4 linked regions of the Saccharomyces cerevisiae S288C genome follow. Changing the gene in region 1 together with any one later gene gives a genetic interaction. Each region holds a gene or a part of one and is shown in the gene's direction. Other genes may lie near its edges. The genes, in order: HUL4, ADP1, SRP102 and PDH1.

Region 1 (4,850 bases):
TCATGTGAGGAACCACCATTGATGGGAAGCCTCTCAAACAAGGCCTTTTCCCAGATATACGTATCGTCTTCAAAACTGCTAAGGATTGCATTCATTCTGCATGTTATTAGAATTGCAGTACTCGTCATAAATGTAAATGTTAAATGATTTAATGTGGTATCCGCTAAAATAGGCTGCAAAAGTTCGATTCTTTCCATGTTATCAGACCCAAAGGCACCAGGCCCTTGGTATATTTTGTCTACCGTTTTACCATCAATGGTCTGTTTCGATGACAATGCATGTTTAATAAAATAAGTTTTCCATGGCGTAAAAACAAAATGACCAATATTGGTGACCGATTTGAGAAGTACTTGTGAGACCGTTGCTTCCTCCACAAATGTTAAATTGGTAGTTCTTTGCCACTTCGTTCCTTTGGCTGGTTTAGACTCGAATACACACACGCATGCTTCCAACTTATATGCAACCTCATTGTGTGCACGTGTGAGAATCGACAACGTAAAGACATCCTTATCTAAGAAATCATTGAAATTGATACACGCATCTATGGATACTATCGGTGAGGATGTCACATAACTCAGCTTAACGTCTGTTTCTTCCAAACAAAAAATGTCCTCAGTAGAAATCTCGTAAATTTCAGTGCATGACAAATTAAAAACCAGAGCTGTTCGTAGTGGATCTTGGAACATGAACTTTGGCTCTGATCTTACCTGATCAATTCCTGTTTCCAGAGATTTCACTATTTTGTAATCAAGGTTGACGAAGTCCAACCGTCCCGTGGCTTTCAACAGAATATAAAATCTTCGGTTAGGTGCAGTATGATCTTTGAAATAAAAGGCTGCCATTGTATATCCGACAGTCCTAAGTCTTAACTTCTTGCGCGCTTCATCTTGTTCTACCCCTTCAAACACATCTATATATTCTAGTCCTATGACCACCAATTCTCGGCTCTGTCCTTCGAGTCCATCTTCTTCCCTAATAAAACATTTAACTACATCCGGGGGACCATCAACCTCACTTACTATAATGTTGTCAGTCATCGCTATACGAATCCTCCCTGCTGGCATGAGAAATTGGATACGCCAAGCCCTGGGCAGCCTCCTCTTTGCATCGTTTCTCTTGCTTTCATCTTTCCACTATCCAATTACCCTGACTCTCGTTCCTGTCTATCATGAGTCTCTTGTCAAGCCAACAAGTGCTTCCTTTGGAGGTATACGATTGTCTCAACTTACTATGATTATGGAGAGGAGAGCAACGCCTACGTGTCAAGACCCATCGTTAACCGAGGTCTAGCTTTAACCTTGTATCTCCTAGCACTTTTAAATAAGGCAAAAAGGGAGTAGGGTCATATCTTTCTGGGACCCTTTTTTTGTGATTGCCCCAAATAAAGGAAAAAAATGGAGGTTACAGGATTTTTTGAAGAGTCAGGTATAACCGCCCATGTGGAACAGGTAGATAGATAAATATATTCGAAGGATTGCTAGATAGGGGCAAGTTTTTGCATGCATTTCTCGACTTTAAGCAGAAAAGTACATATTTTTAAGGGCATTGGTGAAATTTACCAGGTATATCTCTCGAATACTGCGGCTGATAGGTAAAGTAAAATAGGAAATGGTTTCTTTATTTGATAAGCTTAATGCAAAAAAAGACGGTAGAGATGGATCTGTGTCGAAGGAGTTGCTATCACATTCTGTAGCCCATACTAAGAACAGGTTACCCAAATCAGGAAGGCGCACGTCGGAACGGTCCTTAGCCGCTAGTGTAAAGGACGGAAGTTGCTCAAATAGCAAAAGCAATAAGCGGAACTCTTCGGCATCCGTGTCAGGGGAAGAAGATAAATCCTGTCTAATTTCACTTAATTGCCTATGTTGTGGTGTCCCACTACGGTTTCCAGCCTCCATAACGAAATTTCGATGCAGCGCATGCCAAGTAACAGTTATTGTAAAGGAGCCGGAAATTAACAGTAATTTGGAATCTAGTACGCATATTTCGTGCACATTAGAGGGTTTGCAGATGGTAGTAAGGCGGTGCCATGATGATTTGCAGCGGCTTAAGAAGACTGGGATTCTGGATAAAGAAAGAAAGGGGTTGATTTTCCAACCGGTAATAACGTATTTACTGGACAGATTTCATGATGTTAGCATTTTAAACAGGTCGTTCTTGGTACATGATGGTGGAAAGAATATAAAGATGCTGAATTATGAAGTTTTACAAAGATTTTACAGTATATTATCAAATCTTCCTACAAGGAAACCGTATTATAGTATGCTGTGTTGCTGTAACGATCTACTGAAGAGAATAACAATCAATAAAGGGGAAAATTTGCAAATATTACAGTATCGTTGGTTGCTGATTATATTAAATATACCTACAATACGAACCTGCCTTATTAGAGATCGGAAGAGCAAAAATGTGTTTGAGACCCAACAAATAAGGGCGGTGTCTTATGAGTTGGCCAAACGATGTATTGGCTACTTGTCTAACCTATCAACAAAAACATCTCAACAATTGATTCAATCATTACGGCGAACGCCTACGGATAATTTTTCATACCAGGTAGAGATTTTAAATTTATACATCAATTTCCAATTTTCCAGATTACTGTCGAACGAATTATCAAATAGAACCGCAAAAAATAACGTGAAGCCTGAAGATGAGATGCGATCTCGTCTTCGTCGGCATCACACTACTGGCCATGAATTCCTGAGTACTAGACCAATAAGTGCACAATCAAATGATAAACAGGGAAGTGGTTTCACGCATCCCGTCAATAATAAGATGAAATTTAAATTTTTTCAATATGAGGAAGACTGGCATATTCACTCTGCAGCAAAATTGACGTTCATCTATTATGTAGCCAATACTAGAAGAAATGGCCGTGGAGCGTTGTCAATTCAAAGCTTTTACAATATAACGCTAGACTTCATAGATTATAAACAAGATTTCGATCATTGGAGAGGAGTAGCTCAAAAGACAAAAATGAATCAACTGATTGAAGAGTGGGGAAATTCGACGACAAAAAAATGTTTTTCATTCTGTAAGTATCCATTTATATTGTCACTCGGCATCAAAATCTCTATTATGGAGTATGAAATTCGCAGAATCATGGAACATGAAGCTGAACAGGCTTTTTTAATTTCACTGGATAAAGGCAAATCCGTAGACGTTTATTTCAAAATCAAAGTACGGCGTGACGTTATTTCTCATGATTCATTGAGATGTATCAAGGAACATCAAGGCGATTTATTAAAATCGCTGAGAATAGAGTTTGTTAATGAACCTGGAATTGATGCGGGAGGGTTGAGAAAAGAATGGTTTTTCTTATTAACAAAATCGCTGTTTAATCCGATGAATGGCTTATTTATTTACATAAAAGAAAGCTCACGTTCATGGTTTGCCATTGACCCTCCAAATTTTGACAAATCAAAAGGAAAAAACTCACAACTGGAATTATATTACTTGTTTGGAGTTGTCATGGGGTTGGCGATTTTCAACAGTACCATATTAGATTTACAATTTCCAAAGGCGCTTTATAAAAAACTATGCTCAGAGCCTCTGAGTTTTGAAGATTACTCGGAATTGTTTCCGGAGACAAGTAGGAACTTAATAAAAATGCTCAATTACACAGAGGATAATTTCGAAGACGTCTTTTCTTTAACATTTGAGACTACGTATCGAAATAACAACTGGATTTTAAATGACAGTAAATCGAGCAAAGAGTATGTAACGGTAGAATTATGTGAAAATGGCAGAAATGTGCCAATAACCCAAAGTAACAAGCATGAGTTTGTCATGAAATGGGTAGAATTTTATCTGGAAAAGTCCATTGAGCCACAATACAATAAATTTGTTTCAGGTTTTAAAAGGGTCTTCGCAGAATGCAATTCTATAAAATTATTTAATTCTGAAGAGCTGGAGAGATTAGTGTGTGGTGATGAGGAACAAACTAAATTTGATTTCAAATCGTTAAGATCCGTGACAAAGTATGTAGGTGGCTTCTCCGATGATTCCAGAGCGGTTTGCTGGTTTTGGGAAATTATTGAAAGTTGGGACTATCCATTGCAGAAGAAATTATTACAATTCGTAACGGCATCTGATCGTATACCTGCAACGGGTATCTCTACTATCCCATTCAAAATTAGCTTGCTAGGGTCGCATGATAGTGATGATTTGCCATTGGCTCATACATGTTTTAATGAAATATGTTTATGGAATTATTCCTCGAAAAAAAAACTAGAACTGAAATTACTTTGGGCAATTAATGAATCTGAAGGTTACGGGTTCCGCTAAGAGTCTTCAGAATATACATATACACATAACACATACATATTTTTTATAGATATTTCTATGGGTAAAGTTACGTCAAGGGTACTCTGTCCATTCTAAGTTTTCATGAAGCATTGTTATTCCTAAATTCTTCATCAAGCACCCACCCTTTACGCTCTTTATCAAACTGTGCTATGGTTTTTAATAATGCTCTAACCTTAATAACGTCTTCTTTATCAGAAAGACTGACGCCAATGCTGTTAAGTATGCTAACACTAGATGAGAAAAAGTTATTCTGTTTCTGTAAATATGCCCGAATATTTTCTAGCGTTTTGGTATTGGAATTGATTTCCTTGGATCTTGCGAAGGTTATACCATCGTCGTAATTTTCTTGGCGAGCTTCCTTGGATGCCTCTTTTTGTGATTTTGTAATATTGCCTAAAATGGCAGCTGATCCAGTTAATTTATTTTTCAACGGATCTCTCTTTCTAATTTTACCTGCTTTACCAAACCTACCTGTCCAAGTAGGTGTCCCAATTTCATATTGCTTAGTGATCTTTTTTCTCGATTTCCTTAGCGCATTAACC
Region 2 (5,243 bases), on another chromosome or scaffold:
TGAAAGCCATACCACCACCAATGATGATAGAGTCGACCTTGTCCAACAAGTTGTCAATCAATTGAATCTTGTCAGCAACCTTGGCACCACCTAAGATGGCCAAGAATGGTCTGGTTGGGTTCTCCAAAGCCTTACCGAAGTACTTCAATTCCTTTTCCAACAAGAAACCGGCAGCACGTTGTGGCAAGTCGAAACCGACCATAGAAGAGTGAGCTCTGTGAGCGGTACCGAAGGCATCGTTGATGTAAACATCAGCCAAAGAGCTCAATTCGTGTCTGAACTTTTGAACATCTTCCTTGGAAGCCTTGACCTTTTGACCATCGACCTTTCTGGAACCTTCTTCTTCGATGTGGTAACGCAAGTTTTCCAACAAAATAACGGAACCTGGGGCAGAAGCCTTGACAGCGGCTTCAACTTCTGGACCGACACAGTCGTTCAAGAAGGTGACATCCTTACCCAACAATGATTGCAATTCCTTAGCAACTGGAGCCAAAGAGTATTTTTCGTTTCTTTCACCGTTTGGTCTACCCAAGTGAGAAGCCAAGACAACGTATCTTGGGTGGTGTTCCAAAACGTACTTGATGGTTGGCAAAGCAGCAACAATTCTTTGGTTAGAAGTGATCTTCTTACCGTCCAATGGGACGTTGAAGTCAACTCTGATGAAGACACGCTTGTCCTTCAAGTCCAAATCTTGGACAGACAACTTTGAAGATAAAGACATTGTTTTATATTTGTTGTAAAAAGTAGATAATTACTTCCTTGATGATCTGTAAAAAAGAGAAAAAGAAAGCATCTAAGAACTTGAAAAACTACGAATTAGAAAAGACCAAATATGTATTTCTTGCATTGACCAATTTATGCAAGTTTATATATATGTAAATGTAAGTTTCACGAGGTTCTACTAAACTAAACCACCCCCTTGGTTAGAAGAAAAGAGTGTGTGAGAACAGGCTGTTGTTGTCACACGATTCGGACAATTCTGTTTGAAAGAGAGAGAGTAACAGTACGATCGAACGAACTTTGCTCTGGAGATCACAGTGGGCATCATAGCATGTGGTACTAAACCCTTTCCCGCCATTCCAGAACCTTCGATTGCTTGTTACAAAACCTGTGAGCCGTCGCTAGGACCTTGTTGTGTGACGAAATTGGAAGCTGCAATCAATAGGAAGACAGGAAGTCGAGCGTGTCTGGGTTTTTTCAGTTTTGTTCTTTTTGCAAACAAATCACGAGCGACGGTAATTTCTTTCTCGATAAGAGGCCACGTGCTTTATGAGGGTAACATCAATTCAAGAAGGAGGGAAACACTTCCTTTTTCTGGCCCTGATAATAGTATGAGGGTGAAGCCAAAATAAAGGATTCGCGCCCAAATCGGCATCTTTAAATGCAGGTATGCGATAGTTCCTCACTCTTTCCTTACTCACGAGTAATTCTTGCAAATGCCTATTATGCAGATGTTATAATATCTGTGCGTCTTGAGTTGAAGTCAGGAATCTAAAATAAAAATTAAGGTTAATAAAAAGAGGAAAGAAAAAAAAATTAATCGATTTACAGAAACTTGCACACTAAAAATACACAACTAAAAGCAATTACAGTATGGGAAGTCATCGACGTTATCTCTACTATAGTATATTATCATTTCTATTATTATCCTGCTCAGTGGTACTTGCAAAACAAGATAAGACCCCATTCTTTGAAGGTACTTCTTCGAAAAATTCGCGTCTAACTGCACAAGATAAGGGCAATGATACATGCCCGCCATGTTTTAATTGTATGCTACCTATTTTTGAATGCAAACAGTTTTCTGAATGCAATTCGTACACTGGTAGATGTGAGTGTATAGAAGGGTTTGCAGGTGATGATTGCTCTCTGCCCCTCTGTGGCGGTCTATCACCGGATGAAAGCGGTAATAAGGATCGTCCCATAAGAGCACAAAATGACACCTGTCATTGTGATAACGGATGGGGAGGGATCAATTGTGACGTTTGTCAAGAAGATTTTGTCTGTGATGCGTTCATGCCTGATCCTAGTATTAAGGGGACATGTTATAAGAATGGTATGATTGTAGATAAAGTATTTTCAGGTTGTAATGTGACCAATGAGAAAATTCTACAGATTTTGAACGGCAAAATACCACAAATTACATTTGCCTGTGATAAACCTAATCAAGAATGTAATTTTCAGTTTTGGATAGATCAGTTAGAAAGCTTCTATTGTGGCTTAAGTGATTGTGCCTTTGAATACGACTTGGAACAGAATACCTCCCATTATAAGTGTAATGACGTTCAATGCAAATGCGTTCCCGACACTGTGTTGTGTGGTGCTAAGGGGTCTATAGATATCTCGGATTTCCTGACAGAGACAATAAAAGGGCCAGGAGATTTCAGCTGTGATTTAGAAACAAGGCAATGTAAATTCAGTGAGCCTTCTATGAATGATTTGATATTGACCGTGTTTGGTGACCCTTATATTACTTTGAAGTGTGAATCCGGTGAATGTGTTCATTATAGTGAGATTCCAGGTTACAAATCTCCTTCAAAAGATCCAACAGTGTCATGGCAAGGGAAATTGGTGTTGGCATTGACTGCTGTGATGGTCCTGGCACTTTTTACATTTGCTACCTTTTACATTTCTAAATCTCCGTTATTCAGAAATGGATTGGGTTCCTCAAAGTCTCCCATTCGTTTGCCAGATGAAGATGCGGTGAATAATTTCTTACAAAATGAAGATGACACACTGGCGACATTAAGTTTTGAAAATATCACTTATAGTGTCCCCTCGATAAATTCAGATGGTGTTGAAGAAACTGTGCTGAATGAAATAAGTGGTATCGTGAAGCCCGGCCAAATATTAGCTATCATGGGTGGATCTGGTGCGGGTAAAACTACTTTATTAGATATCCTAGCAATGAAACGGAAAACAGGTCACGTTTCGGGTTCCATAAAAGTTAACGGTATTAGTATGGACCGTAAATCTTTCTCGAAAATAATCGGGTTCGTCGATCAAGATGACTTTTTGCTGCCCACTTTGACTGTTTTTGAAACCGTATTAAATAGTGCGCTGTTAAGATTGCCAAAAGCATTGTCATTCGAGGCCAAGAAGGCAAGAGTTTATAAGGTGTTGGAAGAACTAAGAATTATTGATATCAAAGATCGTATTATTGGTAATGAATTTGATCGTGGTATTAGTGGAGGTGAAAAACGCCGAGTTTCCATTGCATGTGAATTAGTGACATCTCCATTGGTTTTATTTTTGGATGAACCTACATCTGGTTTAGATGCTAGTAATGCCAATAATGTTATTGAATGTTTGGTAAGGTTATCCAGCGACTATAACAGGACATTGGTGCTATCTATTCATCAGCCAAGATCAAATATATTTTATTTATTCGATAAATTGGTCCTGTTAAGTAAAGGTGAGATGGTCTATTCCGGAAATGCCAAAAAAGTGTCAGAATTTTTGAGAAATGAGGGATATATCTGTCCGGACAACTATAATATTGCTGATTATTTGATTGATATTACTTTTGAAGCCGGTCCTCAGGGGAAAAGGAGAAGAATCAGAAACATTTCCGATTTAGAAGCTGGTACGGATACTAACGATATTGATAATACGATACACCAAACAACATTTACTAGCAGTGATGGTACAACACAGAGAGAGTGGGCTCATCTTGCAGCTCATAGAGATGAGATCAGATCTTTACTCAGAGATGAAGAAGATGTAGAGGGAACAGATGGAAGGCGAGGTGCTACTGAGATTGACTTAAATACCAAACTACTACACGATAAATATAAAGATAGCGTCTATTATGCAGAGCTTTCACAGGAGATCGAGGAAGTTTTAAGCGAAGGTGATGAGGAAAGTAACGTTTTGAATGGAGATTTACCCACAGGTCAACAATCTGCTGGTTTTCTGCAACAGTTATCGATATTGAATTCAAGAAGTTTTAAAAACATGTACAGAAACCCTAAACTATTATTGGGTAATTATTTACTGACGATCCTATTGAGTTTATTCTTGGGAACACTATATTACAACGTCTCCAATGATATCAGCGGTTTTCAGAACAGAATGGGGCTGTTCTTCTTTATACTAACGTACTTCGGTTTTGTTACATTCACAGGTCTCAGCTCGTTCGCTCTGGAAAGGATCATTTTCATAAAAGAAAGATCCAATAACTATTACTCGCCACTTGCATACTACATTAGTAAGATAATGAGCGAAGTGGTCCCGCTACGTGTTGTACCACCTATACTCTTGTCATTGATTGTTTACCCAATGACTGGTTTAAACATGAAAGACAATGCTTTTTTTAAATGTATTGGAATCCTTATACTGTTTAACCTTGGGATATCGTTGGAAATCCTAACCATCGGCATAATTTTTGAAGACTTGAATAACTCCATAATATTAAGCGTGCTGGTGCTTTTGGGCTCACTACTGTTTAGCGGACTATTTATCAATACTAAGAATATTACAAACGTGGCCTTCAAGTACCTGAAAAACTTCTCTGTGTTTTACTACGCCTACGAATCTTTATTGATCAATGAGGTCAAAACATTGATGCTGAAAGAGAGAAAGTACGGCTTAAATATTGAAGTTCCAGGCGCTACTATCTTGAGCACATTTGGATTTGTTGTCCAAAACCTTGTATTTGACATCAAGATCCTGGCTCTGTTTAATGTGGTGTTTTTAATAATGGGGTATCTAGCCCTTAAGTGGATAGTTGTGGAACAAAAGTAGATAGGCGTCGTATATAGTCTCTTCTTTTACATAAGAAATAATAATTTTTGGCCCCGCAACTTTCCTTATTTTCGAGAGGGTCCACTGCCCGTTGATCCGGAGCTCCGTGGAATAGGCGAGCGGCTGAGTGGTTCTCCAAGCTACGGTTTTTACGTGTAGCCCCATGTGAGCAAGCCAAACAAGGGCCCTTAAAGGCGTGACTACAAAAAGGGGCGGGTTGGAAGGTCATCTGCAGCGAGATACGAAAAGATTTTTTGCCAGATTTGCGGTTGGGCGGCTATTTCGGTATTGTTGGGGTAACAAACGTTGGGGAAGACTGCATTTTCTTACAGCTTTTTTTCGTTATCGCGGGTTGGGCGGCTATGGCGCCTTCTCCTCTGTACTCCAACCTGTCAGAGACACCAAGCTGTATATAAAGCACCTTGGTTGGATCGTATTTCCCTGAGATCTTGCTATAGGTTCATTTTATATATCGTCCAATAGCAATAACAATACAACAG
Region 3 (3,034 bases), on another chromosome or scaffold:
ATAATTCTAGGCCAGGAATTTTGCGTGTCATCACCCAGTGATCCAATGTCATATTTGCCGTTCACATTTTCATTCCGTAATTTCTTAATTTCTTTCAACGTATTTTCGTCCTTATGTGATCTCTCGAATATTAAATAGGAGTAGTTTAAAATTTCATAGTCACGACCATTTCTTCTTCCCGTTCCTTTTAGCCTCGACGCATTTCCTTGAGAACCATCCCATGAAGTAGCGAGAAGTTTACCCTTCTTTAACTCTATACTGAATTTGGGACGCTTGATGCTTTTTTGAAAATTGCAGAACTTTAAGTCTTTACCCTCTTTATGAGTATAAAAGTTAGGATTTCCAACCTGTAAGGGACATTTCCTTTGATGTGGACAAGGTGCAATCACCTTCAGAAAATAATTACTGGAAATGTTTCCTAATTCAGCATCTTTTTTGCCTCTGACTGTTACTCCCCTAGACCAAGGTCTTGGTATTTTTCCGAATTCATCTGGAAAGTTTTCAGGTCTAAGCGTAATTTGCCTTGCCCTGGCTATAATCTCGAATCCCATTGGGTTGCCTCGTTCAATAATAACAATGTGGCCTCCAGGCGCTAGAATATTTAAGTAGTGCTCAATATTTTCATCCACCTGAATTGGAAATTGATTCCCGTCATGAAGAAGTTGATGCGTTAATATTATGAGGTCATATTCCTTAGATGCGGGAATAGAAGACCGCAAGTTAGTCATAATGTTTATCTTTTTTGTCATCACTTCTCCAATATGTTCATCCTCTTGAAAGTTTTTGTTCCGTCTATCTGTTTCCTGCTCTTTCTCTGTAGACACATTTTCTTCTACAGTATCGACCACCTCGTTAAGTTGTCTGCTCAAAATGATTTTGGCTCTTTCTTGCATCTCCGCATTCCCTAAAATAACGGCATCTTTTAGATCAGGTCTATAATTTGGGCCTAAAATATCATTCAAGGCAACTATACCAGTCGCTGGGCCATATCCAACATCAAGGATTCTTTGAGGTTTAAAATTATCAGGACCTACCCTTTTTTGTAATTCTTTCAGACTTTGGAAAATAGAACCATAATTTTGTAAAAAAATGGACGCTATATGTGCATCCACTTCCATTTTGGTTCTACAGGGACGATGTAATGAATTTGGTTCCTGAATCTCTTTGTAATAATTTGTAGCAACCCTTCTAAGATTATTGGGAATATGTACAGCCATAATATTATTGTTGATTGCTTTGCTTACATCAGGATTCAACTCTAATTGGTCCCGGTACGACTGGCCCTGAAGTGTTTTGGAAAGTAATCTGAGCTCTTTAGAATTAGTTGCTTGAGTGGTGCTAGCGGTTTCATCTCTGTACGACGGAAGAACATTGATTCCTCTTTTATTTGAGTCTATAAAATCCGCCAAATCTAACTTTGGTAAGTTTAAACTTGTGAACTTTGAGCTGAACCGGACATTTTGTGGTAGGATACTGAAGCATCTTTTCATCATTTTACCTAAACTAGACGGGCCACCTTATGTCCTAAAGTGTCAGAGGTTTTGCTGCAATACTGTTCTTAATTTTTCACCATTCACTTTTTTCATCTAGTGGCGGAAAAAAATAAGAGATATGGAAAACAAATATGAACCATCATTAAACTTGAAAAAGATGAGAAGAAAAGAAATAGTTAGGCTTTAAGTGTCTGTATTGATCAATTAATTATTACTTTACCACTGCTGTTTATTAGCATAATAGCACACGGGATCAGAATGCTTAGTAATACACTTATTATTGCCTGTTTATTGGTGATAGGGACAACCATAGCGCTAATAGCAGTGCAAAAGGCATCCTCCAAGACAGGGATCAAGCAAAAAAGTTATCAACCATCTATTATCATTGCAGGTCCTCAAAATTCTGGAAAAACGAGCTTGCTTACGCTGCTAACCACAGATTCAGTAAGACCAACTGTTGTTTCTCAAGAACCGTTATCAGCAGCGGATTACGATGGTTCCGGCGTCACGTTAGTGGACTTCCCAGGCCATGTCAAGTTGCGTTATAAACTCTCAGATTATTTGAAAACAAGAGCCAAATTTGTTAAAGGGTTGATATTTATGGTAGACTCAACAGTTGATCCTAAGAAATTAACAACAACAGCTGAGTTCTTGGTAGACATATTATCAATTACTGAATCTAGTTGCGAAAATGGTATTGATATCTTAATTGCATGCAATAAAAGCGAATTGTTCACTGCAAGACCACCATCAAAGATCAAGGATGCTTTAGAAAGCGAAATTCAAAAGGTTATTGAAAGAAGGAAAAAATCGTTGAACGAGGTTGAAAGAAAAATTAACGAAGAAGATTATGCAGAGAATACACTAGACGTTTTACAGTCTACCGACGGGTTCAAATTTGCAAATTTGGAAGCATCTGTAGTTGCTTTTGAGGGCAGTATTAATAAAAGAAAAATTTCCCAATGGCGCGAATGGATAGATGAAAAACTGTAATATAATTATAATTTATAACTAGATGAACGATAGATAGTTTAAAAACAAGCATTTAACATAGCTCTAGATTCCGTACGCAGAGAAAGACATAGTTGCATCATCGACACATGCAATATCAAAAGTAACTCTTTTTGACTGCTGGTGTAAAAAACACTCACGATGGGGGTCGAACCCATAATCTTCTGATTAGAAGTCAGACGCGTTGCCATTACGCCACGCGAGCTAATATTTGTTTGATGTTCCAGCAGTTATATGATCTAATTATGCGGGAAAATAATTGAAGATAAGTAGTTTGATGTATTTTTATTATAGTATTATATTTTCTGATTTGGTTATAGCAAGCAGCGTTTTTTTTCTTCTTTACCATAATCATTGTACCAGGAAATTTTGTTCATAATTATTGTGTTGATTGTCAATGGTCAAAGGTACAACTAATGAAGATTAAATATGGTGAATAGGAGGCCTGCTAGCCACCGTACATTTAATATGTCCGCGTGTTGGAATAAAAATCAACTATCGTCATCAACTAGTGGTTATACTACCAGTAT
Region 4 (3,716 bases), on another chromosome or scaffold:
TGGCTGTTGATGACAGGTGGTGTGCCAACTTTCCAGCAAGCTGCTTCTTTCAGGAAAGAATTGGCTATTCGTGGAAGGAAATTGCCACATTATACAGAGAAAGTTTTGTCAAGTTTACCCAAAGATATGCACCCTATGACCCAACTTGCAATTGGTTTAGCATCAATGAACAAAGGATCCCTCTTTGCTACAAACTACCAAAAGGGCCTCATAGGAAAGATGGAATTTTGGAAAGATACTCTTGAAGATTCGCTAAATTTAATTGCTTCACTCCCGCTGCTGACTGGGAGAATTTATTCGAACATTACAAATGAGGGACACCCATTAGGTCAATATAGTGAGGAGGTGGATTGGTGTACAAACATATGTTCCCTGCTCGGCATGACAAATGGAACGAACTCTTCTAATACATGCAACCTTACTTCCCAGCAATCCCTGGACTTCATAAACTTGATGCGGTTATATACCGGTATACATGTAGACCATGAAGGTGGTAATGTTTCTGCTCACACCACCCACTTGGTTGGAAGTGCGTTGAGTGACCCGTATCTCAGCTATTCATCTGGAATAATGGGATTAGCGGGTCCTTTGCATGGGTTAGCAGCACAAGAAGTAGTAAGGTTTCTCATAGAGATGAACTCTAATATTTCCAGCATTGCACGAGAACAAGAAATCAAAGATTATCTTTGGAAAATTTTGAATTCAAACCGTGTGATCCCCGGTTATGGGCACGCAGTTTTGCGTAAACCGGATCCTCGATTTACAGCAATGCTTGAATTTGCGCAAAAGAGGCCTATTGAATTTGAGAACGACAAGAACGTTTTGTTGATGCAAAAATTGGCAGAAATAGCGCCTAAGGTTTTGTTGGAACACGGAAAGAGTAAGAATCCATTTCCCAATGTTGACTCTGCATCGGGGATTTTGTTTTATCATTATGGAATCAGGGAATTATTATTCTTTACCGTCATTTTTGGGTGTTCAAGGGCCATGGGACCCTTGACACAACTTGTTTGGGATCGCATTCTAGGTTTACCAATTGAAAGGCCCAAGAGTTTGAACTTGGAGGGTCTGGAAGCACTTACCAAAGCAAGCAATGTTAACAAGTTGTAACGCAGTTCCAATTTACAAGAATGCTTCGTTTGCTATTACAATATTGAAATATAAATAAAATTCCATACAGCATGTCTAATCATAGCTAATTTATACATATTCATCATGAAAACATATAGGGGAAAATATGGTCGGTTAACACACCTATCAAAAAATTATTCAGCAATTCCAATCTCGTTAGTAAAATATATTCTTATTTTTTTTTTTTTTCTCTGATTGTATTATTTCTGGAGTTTTGACTTATTTTTTTACCACATCGCGCTTTTCGTCCCCAATCTCTCTGATATATGATGCTGTCTATAGGTAGCCACTTCCCCGATGTCGGACCTCGGGCCGTTTACAAACTTTATTGAGATGACCTTATTTCTCCACATTCTAGTCATTCAACTTTTACCCTCATATGTTTACCTTCACTAATGTGAAAGCATGACCAAAGAAAGTGTATAAGGTATATAAATCTGCCATAATGTATGTATAACTTATTAGGACTTTCTCAAATAGTATTTTGGTATTTTCTACTGTTCTCTGATGATCGAGAGCAAACAGAATGTTTTTAGCCAAAAATCTAAAAAATAATAAAATCAAGGTATGCTTGCCTAAAAAGAAATTTGCTGCGCTGAGTACAGCGTCTATACAAACTAATGAAAGACCAAATCCAGATAAGGTTTTGAAGGACATCGCGAAATATGTCCATGAAACCCCATTAAAATCATCTTTGGCTCTAGATACAGCACGACTCTGTTTCCTTGATACTCTAGGCTGTGGCTTGGCGGCTTTGAAATTTAAGCAGGCTCAAAATATTATTAAACCAATTGTGCCAGGAACAATAGTTCCCAGTGGAACAAAAATATTGGGCACATCTTACGTTATGGATCCAGTGAAGGGAGCTTTTGCCATTGGTACTCTAATACGTTGGTTAGATTACAATGACTGCTGGTTAGCTGCCGAGTGGGGGCACCCATCAGATAACCTTGGGGGAATTTTAGCTGTCGCGGATCACTTGTCCAGATTAAACAAGGCTACCCACGGAAAGAATGGAAAACAGTTTCTTGTTAAAGACGTATTAGAGGCAATGATTAAAGCGCATGAAATCCAAGGTATTATAGCGCTCGAAAATTCTTTCAATAAAGTAGGTTTAGATCATGTGGTACTCGTGAAAGTAGCAACGGCTGGTGTTGTCTCGAAGATGCTGGGCCTGAGCCAGGAACAAACTATTGAAGCATTGTCACAAGCATTTGTAGACGGTCAATCACTGCGTACTTACCGTCATGCCCCAAATACTGGATCTAGAAAGTCGTGGGCGGCGGGAGATGCAGTTTCGAGGGCTGTAAACTTGGCTTATTTAGTCAAAAATGCTAATGTTGGCACGATACCTTCAGTATTAACAGCTAGAACCTGGGGATTTTATGACGTTTTATTTAAGGGTAAACCTTTTTCATTCCAACAAAGATCAAAATATGATTCCTACGTCATGGAAAACGTTCTGTTCAAGATATCATTTCCTGCCGAATTCCATGCGCAAACTGCTGTAGAAGCTGCTGTAAAAGCATATAGGATTCTTGCCAAACAAGGGAAAACTTTTAAAGATATTAAATCGATCAGAATTAGAACTCAAGAGGCGGCAATGAGGATTATAGATAAATCCGGTCCTCTGTATAATTATGCCGATAGGGATCATTGTATCCAGTACATGATCGCGGTTCCGCTGATTACTGGTAATCTCACAGCTACTGATTATTCGGATGAGGTCGCAAGAAATCCTGAGATCGATAACTTGAGATCGAAAATGTACTGTATCGAAGATACTCATCTCACTCAAAACTATCACGATCCTGATAAAAGGTCGATAGGAAACGCTCTTCTCATAGAGCTGAACGATGGGACGCAGTTGGATGAAATTTTTGTAGAGTACCCTGTTGGTCACAAATTTAGACGAGAGGAAGGAATACCATTACTAATGAATAAATTTCAAAGGCATCTGCGCGAACATTTTGTAGAGAGCCCTGATAAAGTCGACCTTATAATGAAGGTAAGTTCAAAAACAAACTTTTTGAATATGCAAATCGACAAATACATGGATTTGTTTACTGAGGGATGAATGGTTGGCTCTTTAAGAGCGAACGGCATGGTACCTACTTCAATTTTTAAAGACAAAAGGCGCCGTTTCGATAAACAAGAAATCACTTTCAAAACATAATTAAACCAAAGAACATGCGGTTTTCTAATTATGCTGGCTTAATTTTACTGGTATTTATCTACATAATAATAACTATTAAAAAATTAAATAATTGGCTCTATTTATTTTTCTTTCTTCAACTTGCAAGAGTTCGTCAATTCATGGAAAAATACAAAAATAGAAATGCGAATTCTGTGGATCGAACACAGGACCTCCAGATAACTTGACCGAAGTTTTTTCTTCAGTCTGGCGCTCTCCCAACTGAGCTAAATCCGCTCAATTTCTATGCTCTAACCACCTTAGCTAAAAACTCAATACAGGATTAGTTGATAAATGGGTGTTATCAACTCAATCCACAGTGTTGGAATCAGAGTCAGTTATCATCTTTGGGCTAGTATTATTGTAAGTGTTGGAATAAAAATTCTAAAAT

Evidence for each region.
Region 2: mutations in HUL4 (region 1) and ADP1 together harm fitness more than expected from each alone (negative genetic interaction), as found in Saccharomyces cerevisiae (one large-scale study listed by BioGRID).
Region 3: mutations in HUL4 (region 1) and SRP102 together harm fitness less than expected from each alone (positive genetic interaction), as found in Saccharomyces cerevisiae (one large-scale study listed by BioGRID).
Region 4: mutations in HUL4 (region 1) and PDH1 together harm fitness more than expected from each alone (negative genetic interaction), as found in Saccharomyces cerevisiae (one large-scale study listed by BioGRID).

What each region holds. Positions count from the first base shown.
Region 1 is NC_001142.9:500,150-504,999, reverse strand, and holds HUL4 (putative E3 ubiquitin-protein ligase HUL4), read left to right. Parts: upstream 1-1,608; coding exon 1,609-4,287; downstream 4,288-4,850. Other genes in the region: MLO127 (Mlo127p), read right to left, coding at 1-1,064; DNA-dependent ATPase RAD26, read right to left, coding at 4,388-4,850.
Region 2 is NC_001135.5:133,224-138,466, reverse strand, and holds ADP1 (putative ATP-dependent permease ADP1), read left to right. Parts: upstream 1-1,593; coding exon 1,594-4,743; downstream 4,744-5,243. Other genes in the region: PGK1 (phosphoglycerate kinase), read right to left, coding at 1-721.
Region 3 is NC_001143.9:159,850-162,883, forward strand, and holds SRP102 (Signal recognition particle receptor subunit beta), read left to right. Parts: upstream 1-1,751; coding exon 1,752-2,486; downstream 2,487-3,034. Other genes in the region: tRNA methyltransferase RSM22, read right to left, coding at 1-1,493. UniProt on the Saccharomyces cerevisiae protein: Component of the signal recognition particle (SRP) complex receptor (SR). Ensures, in conjunction with the SRP complex, the correct targeting of the nascent secretory proteins to the endoplasmic reticulum membrane system.
Region 4 is NC_001148.4:556,728-560,443, forward strand, and holds PDH1 (putative 2-methylcitrate dehydratase), read left to right. Parts: upstream 1-1,657; coding exon 1,658-3,208; downstream 3,209-3,716. Other genes in the region: citrate (Si)-synthase CIT3, read left to right, coding at 1-1,110. UniProt on the Saccharomyces cerevisiae protein: Catalyzes the stereospecific dehydration of (2S,3S)-2-methylcitrate (2-MC) to yield the cis isomer of 2-methyl-aconitate.